Linked DNA regions of Daphnia pulex. The protein of the gene in region 1 interacts with the protein of each later gene in a biochemical or structural test. Links are inferred from orthologs where the notes say so. Each region holds a gene or a part of one and is shown in the gene's direction. Other genes may lie near its edges.

Region 1 (3,163 bases):
AGGTCGTAGAAAAACAGTACCGGTACGAGAATCCGTAAATCCCTGTAGTAAAGAAAAATGTAAAGAAATTAATTTATTCGTTATAAAGTAGAAAGAATCGACGACAACTTACTATCTCATGGGCAATCTGAGCCCCCCTTCCTTGACCGATAGCAGATAGAAGTTGGCCGGCCAATCTAGTAGCATTTGGACCTAAAAATACTTTTGCGTGATTCAATCGAGTAGCTAAAAGTGTGATCAAACGCTGTTTCAAACGAATTAGTAAATCTTCCTTTGCCGTAAGACTTTTCACAGAACCAAATAGCGTCTCCAGTTGGCTTTCATAAATAGAAGATTCGATTTGGTAAGAATTCATTTCCAGCTTCAAGTCATTGAGGTCTGGTGCTAAACAGTACTCAAGGCTACAGATGTAAACATCAAAGCCATTTTTTTTAGCCTGCTCAAGAACAAAATCAGTGGTTTCTTTCCTTTCGTGTTTGGAAAGATTCAAAATTAAACCTTCTAAGAAAGGTATAGAAACTAAGAATTATTCTGATTTCTTTATACTGGCAACTGAATTTGAATTACCGTCTATGTGTACTAAAGTAGGTTTGAACACCATTTTAATTTTTTTACTTTCTGAGAGATCCAAGCCTTCTTTAATAAGCTTTACCATGGACCCACTAGATAATCCTCCAGAATATGCCAATAAAACATGTTCATTATGTTTAAGAGCATGTGCTTTCCCAATCGTGGAACGGAATTTATGGACAGCATACTTCATAAAACAATCACTGAAACAAAAAATTTTTGATGATGAATTAAGAAGATTTTTTTTTAAGTTCGTTTTAGACTCACCGACAGTATGGATCTGTTTTACGTAGAAGAACTTGAGCCTTTAGTATGTTACATCTGCGGCATATTGCATCTGTACTAAATGACAATTTTTGTTTAAATGGTAGTTTCGGGTTACAAGCAAATAACCAAATCTTACACTGATAGTTTGGGAGTTGCGACCATGGTCTCTTCGGCTAAGTTTTCTTCGTTAATAGAACACATCATGAGCTTATTATAGAGGTAAGAGGTATGCTGATATAAAATTATCAAATTACTAAAAAATTAGATTGTCAAAACGAGGCAGAGTACGCATTTACACGATTACACGATCAAAATTCCCGAATCAGGAATCACGTTGCAGTAAATAACTAAATATGTCGTCTGCTAATTAACATGCTTGCCAAACAACTGACATTAATATTTTATTTTGATAATATCTTGAAATTTATTCTCTAACTTACATAAAATAATCAAAATACGTAACATATAAATTAAACTTCCAATTCAATGAGTTCTTAATGGCATTTATGTGGTTCACATGACGTAATGGCAACAGCTTAGCTGTGTGTAAAACAGCATTCAGGTCTGCCATTGCATCAGCTGGTATTCCGGCTAGACACGTTTACACCGTTATATTTGTTAATAACTTGTGCTACAAAATTAGTATTGTTTAATCATGGCAGAAGAAGAAGCAGTAAGTTATTGTTTAGAGTGTTTACCATGTCAAATTATATAAATTGTTTTTTTTTAGATTTTTGATCCATCTTTGAAGAAGAAAAAGAAGAAGGCCAAGAAGACCCCTTTCGATTTTGACGCAGCTTTAGCTGGTGGAACAGTTGGCAATGAGCCGGTTGAGTTAGAAGTAGGAAAGGAAAACGAAAATCCTGAAGAGGAAGAAGTAAAAGAAGTAGATGACTTAGATCTTGAAAGCTTTGGCAAAAAGAAGAAAAAATCTAAAAAGAAGGCTTTCCAACTTGAAGATACTGAAGTAGCCTCACCTGAAGTTGAAGGACAAGAAGGAGAAGCAGTTGAAGATCAAGAGGATTTAGATCTTGACTTTTCTAAAAGCTTGAAAAAGAAGAAGAAGAAGAAAAATACTGGAGCAGTTGAAGAAGAGAAAGACGAGAAAGGTAATAAAGAAATACATTATGGTTTGAATTCAAAAGTCAACATTTTTTACATTTGTTTTACAGAGGAAAATGCTGGAGTTGCCTGGACCACTGATGGAGATTACACTTATGATGAGCTTCTTAATCGAGTATTTAATATCATGAGAGAGAAGAATCCTGAAATGGTAGCTGGAGAAAAGAAAAAGTTTACAATGAGGCCTCCCCAGGTTGTGCGAATTGGAACCAAGAAAACGTCATTCGCGAACTTTTCTGAAATATGTAAAACGTAAGTTATATTTGTTACTCTTTTGACTACTTCTCTTACGACAGAATTATTTTGCTTCTCAGGTTACATCGACAACCTAAACACGTATTGGCATTTCTTCTGGCTGAGTTAGGTACCAGTGGGTCTGTTGATGGTAACAATCAACTCATCATCAAAGGTCGTTTCCAACAGAAACAGATGGAAAACGTATTACGTCGTTACGTTAAAGAATACGTCACTTGTCATACGTGTCGATCACCTGATACAATTCTTCAGAAAGATACTCGACTTTTCTTCCTCCAATGTGAAACATGCGGTTCAAGATGTTCTGTAGCCTCCATCAAATCTGGTTTCCAGGCCGTTACCGGAAAACGCGCGGCCATTCGAGCCAAAACGGCGTAAATTACTTCGTACAGAAAAAAATATGTGCTGTCTTTTGTCATTAATGAGAGAAATACATTTTCTTTCCTTTACCATTTTTTTCCAAGCAAAATTTCCATAATTTTAGGATAAGCACAATTGTTTTACGCCACAATTTTGTGTTTAATTACTTTCAATAATCTTAGTTACAACGAATTCTAGTGTGTTACAATTTTATATTTTATGAACAAATTTTTACTTCCACTCAAACTCCATGGTCTAAGGACATTCGACGGGAACTTCGTTCTGTTGCTCCGAAGTAACATCTTCGCCATTGCTAGCTTCGGTATCTATTATTTCGTAAGGATCACTGTCGCTTGTTGAATTTGATGCTTGTTTCAGAGGAGAGTCGCAATCACGCTGTATCAAAGAAATATGGTCTAGTTGCGATTCACGGTTGTCCTTAGTGGTTTCCAGTTGAACTGGAGAAAACCAATTTCCAATTATAGGAACCATCGAGAGTGTCAGCGTAGGAGGTTGTTCAGTGGCCTCAGAGCTCAGCAATCCTCCTCCATTCAGTTTCGACTGGCCTTTATAATGAGGAATATACAAG
Region 2 (3,714 bases), on another chromosome or scaffold:
GAAACACTTCCGTGGGGTTCTCCATCCGCAAGTAAGAGAATCCTATTTGTCCAGTCGTTAATGGAGATTCTCTTCCTTCGGTCGCTTCGCTGATTGTTGTGATCGGCCCGTCATCAAACACCTCTTCTAGATTGAGTGTATTCTAAACAGACGTGGAGAAACACATCAGTTATCATTAGTGGCCGCGCTATTCTCTAAGTACTTTATTTTGATAATTGTGGCGATCGTACTGCTCGTTCTTCGAGGACTTCATTTGACCAAATGGCACCAATTAACAGCTTTGCGTGTACGATGTTGTAGGCAATTCCGATGACGGTGATTAAACAGAGGACGGCCGAACAAATTGCGTCACTAACACCTGGAACATTCATTCAAATTTCAATTACATAGGATCAAAGCATTCGGATATTAGTAACCACATTACAGGTCGGTCTCTCGCACGATTTGCAGCAAAGTACGAGAAGTGCGCCCACTGAGATAAGTCCCAAGATACCGAGTACGCAATAGCAAACGGCAAGGACAGCTGACGCCTTTAATCTAAATAATAAAATCACGTTACCGTTCAGAAAAACAGATGGCAGTATAGTTAATATTTTGTTATTTACAATTTGATACTTCTGTTCTTTTTAGCAGCTTTTGCAATGAATGCAGAGATCTGACAAATGCAGATGGATGGAAATAGTCCAAGACATAAAAACAATATGTAGTCTCGGCTGGGATCCATAAAACTTGCCAATATCTTCAATGACAACAACAATTTCATTTTTTAAAATTATCATTTTCCTCTTAAACTGAGTTTTGTGTGTTACTTGCCGGAATCAGAAGAACGAGCGATGGGAGAGTAATCGCACTGTTGACGGTGTACATGGATTTTAGTATTCTTCTGACTCGATTATCATTGAAGTAAACATCGGTAACTTCTCCATTATTGGTTACATCTTCTTCAGTGAACCGTATCATTTTTACGCTATAAGTAAATTACACGGTGTGCAGTGAATTTTGAAACTGGGTGATACAACAACCAAAAGAAACACACTGGAAGGTTCCACTGAATGGTGCCGACAAACGACGACGACGAATGTTCGTTTTTAATGTTTGTGTTCGTCATATTCGTGCGTATACTGTGTGCAGATAGTAACTTTTTTGAGCGTTTCTCATATAGAACGATAGGAAAGATAGATAAGAAAATAGTGCGATTGGTCAGGTCAATAGGTTTGATGCGCGATCGTTTCTATCAAACCAGCTTTCACTTCAACGTCTACTTTCTAAATGTGATACTTAAAAAAAAAAACAATTCTTATCTCAGGCCGGTCAATAAACGTTTGGTTTGGAGATGTTGTTAATGCAGAATTTGTGGTGAATATGTTCAAGCCGTAATTAAGCCATTGGATATCAATTGAAATTGGTTTCGTTAAACAAATTATGGATACATATTTATTTTTAAAACAAATCACGAAACACGGGAATGCGAATCACGTTATCGGATTGCGCACCATTTTGGCAACGCGGGACTTTCCACATGCTTTTACCGTAGTCTGCTTGTCCAGTGGATTTTCATTGCTGACGTAAGAAACGCTGCTGTCCCGGCATCACCTTATTTTTTGGATAATCCCTCACATTTATTCTTTCTTCTTAATACGTTAGGTAATTTAGGAATAGAAAAAAAATTCTAGCTTAGAGAACATAATCTTTAACGTGGAGGAAAGCTGTAATTTCGCTATCTAAAATGTCGGTATTGTTCACCATCCACCTAGGCTGCCATCGTGAAAAATGCCCTTATTTTGTCGGTACTACGGTCAAAAATATCCAGAAGTGGATGATGTAGTGATGGTGAATGTGAGATCCATTGCTGAGATGGGAGCTTATGTGCACCTACTAGAGTACAACAATATTGAGGGCATGATCTTGCTCTCTGAGTTGTCCAGGAGGCGTATCCGTTCCATTAACAAGCTCATCAGAGTTGGTAAAACAGAACCAGTTGTAGTTATCAGGGTTGACAAGGAAAAAGGTTTGTTTAATTTACTGTTTGGGTTGTTTCTTTAAATAACCAATTTTCTTCATGTCACCACAGGTTATATTGATCTGTCAAAAAGACGTGTTAGCCCTGAGGATGTAGACAAATGCTTGGAGAAGTATTCCAAGGCCAAGGCAGTAAATTCAATTTTAAGACATGTTGCTGAACTCTTGAAATATCAGACTGATGAAGAGCTTGAGGAACTCTACAGAAAAACAGCTTGGCTTTTTGAGGAGAAATCCAAAAAGCAATCTTCTTCATATGATGTCTTCAAGCAAGCTGTCAAGTAAGTTTTTTCTTTATTCAACCCCAGTTAGTTTTGTTACATTACTACATTTCACAAATTTGGCACACCTTGTTCCTGTGCAGCTTCTATGCAAATCCCTCCATACGGTTCAATGGCCGGTTCCTAAAATTTCAAGAACATAATATTAGTTTATTTTGAATATGTAGTGATCCTTCTCTTCTTGACGAATGCGGCTTGGATGACAACACAAAGGAAGTGCTACTGGGGATTATTAGGCGGAAGCTGACTCAGCAAGCTGTGAAAATCCGAGCTGACATCGAGGTGGCCTGTTATGGCTACGAAGGAATTGGTGCCGTTAAGAAAGCTTTGAAAGCTGGAATTGCCTGCTCCACTGAAGAGATTCCTATAAAAATTAACTTGATTGCTCCACCACTTTACGTCATGACTACGCAGACGCCTGAACGTCAAGACGGACTCAAAGGACTAGAATTAGCCATAGAAAAAGTGAAAGAGATAATTGTTGCACTTGGTGGCGTTTTCAACATTCAAATGGCTGTAAGTTCATCTCTCGTCTACAGATCAACAACCTAAGTATAACGCAATTTCTATTTTAACAGCCCAAAGTTGTTACTGCTATGGATGAAGCTGAATTGGCTCGCCAGATGGAGAAGGCTGAGTTGGAGAATGCTGAAATCGCAGGTAAGGATGGAGTCGGATGTATAATTACGAAAAGAATCTATATAGCTGGGCATATTTATCAACAGGTGATGACGATCAATCTGACATGGAAGCTGAGGGAGCAGGAGCCAATGACGCTGGAAGCGGAGAGGAAGGTGGCGAAGAAGGCGAAGCGGAAGAAGAAGAATAAAGATATACCGCACTCTTATTTTTTACAGACGATGGAAATTACTGCGCTTGGCGCAACTCCGCTCCGATTACACAACTTGAGTGAAGATTCTTTTGTATATTTTTTTAGCAGTACCTAAATCGTATGATGATTTTCCCGATGTGGTCACCCTGGGCGGCGTATTGTCCGGCTTGTTCAGCTTGATCAATTTCAAACACGCGCTCAATAACTGGTTGAAGATGTCCTTTGTTGACTAGATTTGAGATTTCATCCAAAATTGAGGTGGATATTACGGTCGAACCACAAATAGAACTCTAAGAACAGGTGGAAGTTAGTCATTTAATGCTTGGAAGCTTTTCAGGAGCTGGGCTGGACTAACCTTGAGAAATACGAGTTTCATTCGAAGCCACATAGAGTAGAGTGATCCGTAAAACAAGCCATATTTGTCAGACGCAGGTGGGGAGGCGACGGTTGAAACTACCAAACCTCCTTCTCGACAGAGGACACGGCACGAGTCGTGCAAAATCGAGCCAACGGTATTGAGCACAAGGTCAAACTTAGGAAGAGACGACAGCAAAGAATCAAAATCCAAATCATGGCCATTAT

The links.
Region 2: the proteins of eukaryotic translation initiation factor 2 subunit 2-like (region 1) and eukaryotic translation initiation factor 2 subunit 1-like form a complex in vitro, tested with the Homo sapiens proteins (2 studies listed by BioGRID and IntAct). The link is inferred for Daphnia pulex from reciprocal best matches to the Homo sapiens genes EIF2S2 and EIF2S1.

The regions. Positions count from the first base shown.
Region 1 is NC_060020.1:3,233,582-3,236,744, reverse strand, and holds eukaryotic translation initiation factor 2 subunit 2-like, read left to right. Parts: upstream 1-1,352; 5' UTR 1,353-1,492; coding exon 1,493-1,510; intron 1,511-1,567; coding exon 1,568-2,211; intron 2,212-2,273; coding exon 2,274-2,592; 3' UTR 2,593-2,663; downstream 2,664-3,163. Other genes in the region: cytoplasmic tRNA 2-thiolation protein 2-B-like, read right to left, coding at 1-42, 113-501, 568-773, 838-912, 974-1,041; uncharacterized protein LOC124192455, read right to left, coding at 2,830-3,163.
Region 2 is NC_060028.1:8,094,954-8,098,667, forward strand, and holds eukaryotic translation initiation factor 2 subunit 1-like, read left to right. Parts: upstream 1-1,482; 5' UTR 1,483-1,644; intron 1,645-1,754; 5' UTR 1,755-1,770; coding exon 1,771-2,008; intron 2,009-2,071; coding exon 2,072-2,300; exon of another isoform or gene 2,301-2,386; coding exon of another isoform or gene 2,387-2,423; intron 2,424-2,467; coding exon 2,468-2,816; intron 2,817-2,878; coding exon 2,879-2,960; intron 2,961-3,025; coding exon 3,026-3,129; 3' UTR 3,130-3,214; downstream 3,215-3,714. Other genes in the region: uncharacterized protein LOC124208437, read right to left, coding at 1-142, 231-358, 425-537, 606-739, 814-960; reticulon-4-interacting protein 1 homolog, mitochondrial-like, read right to left, coding at 2,387-2,423, 3,244-3,422, 3,488-3,714. UniProt on the Homo sapiens protein: Member of the eIF2 complex that functions in the early steps of protein synthesis by forming a ternary complex with GTP and initiator tRNA. This complex binds to a 40S ribosomal subunit, followed by mRNA binding to form a 43S pre-initiation complex (43S PIC).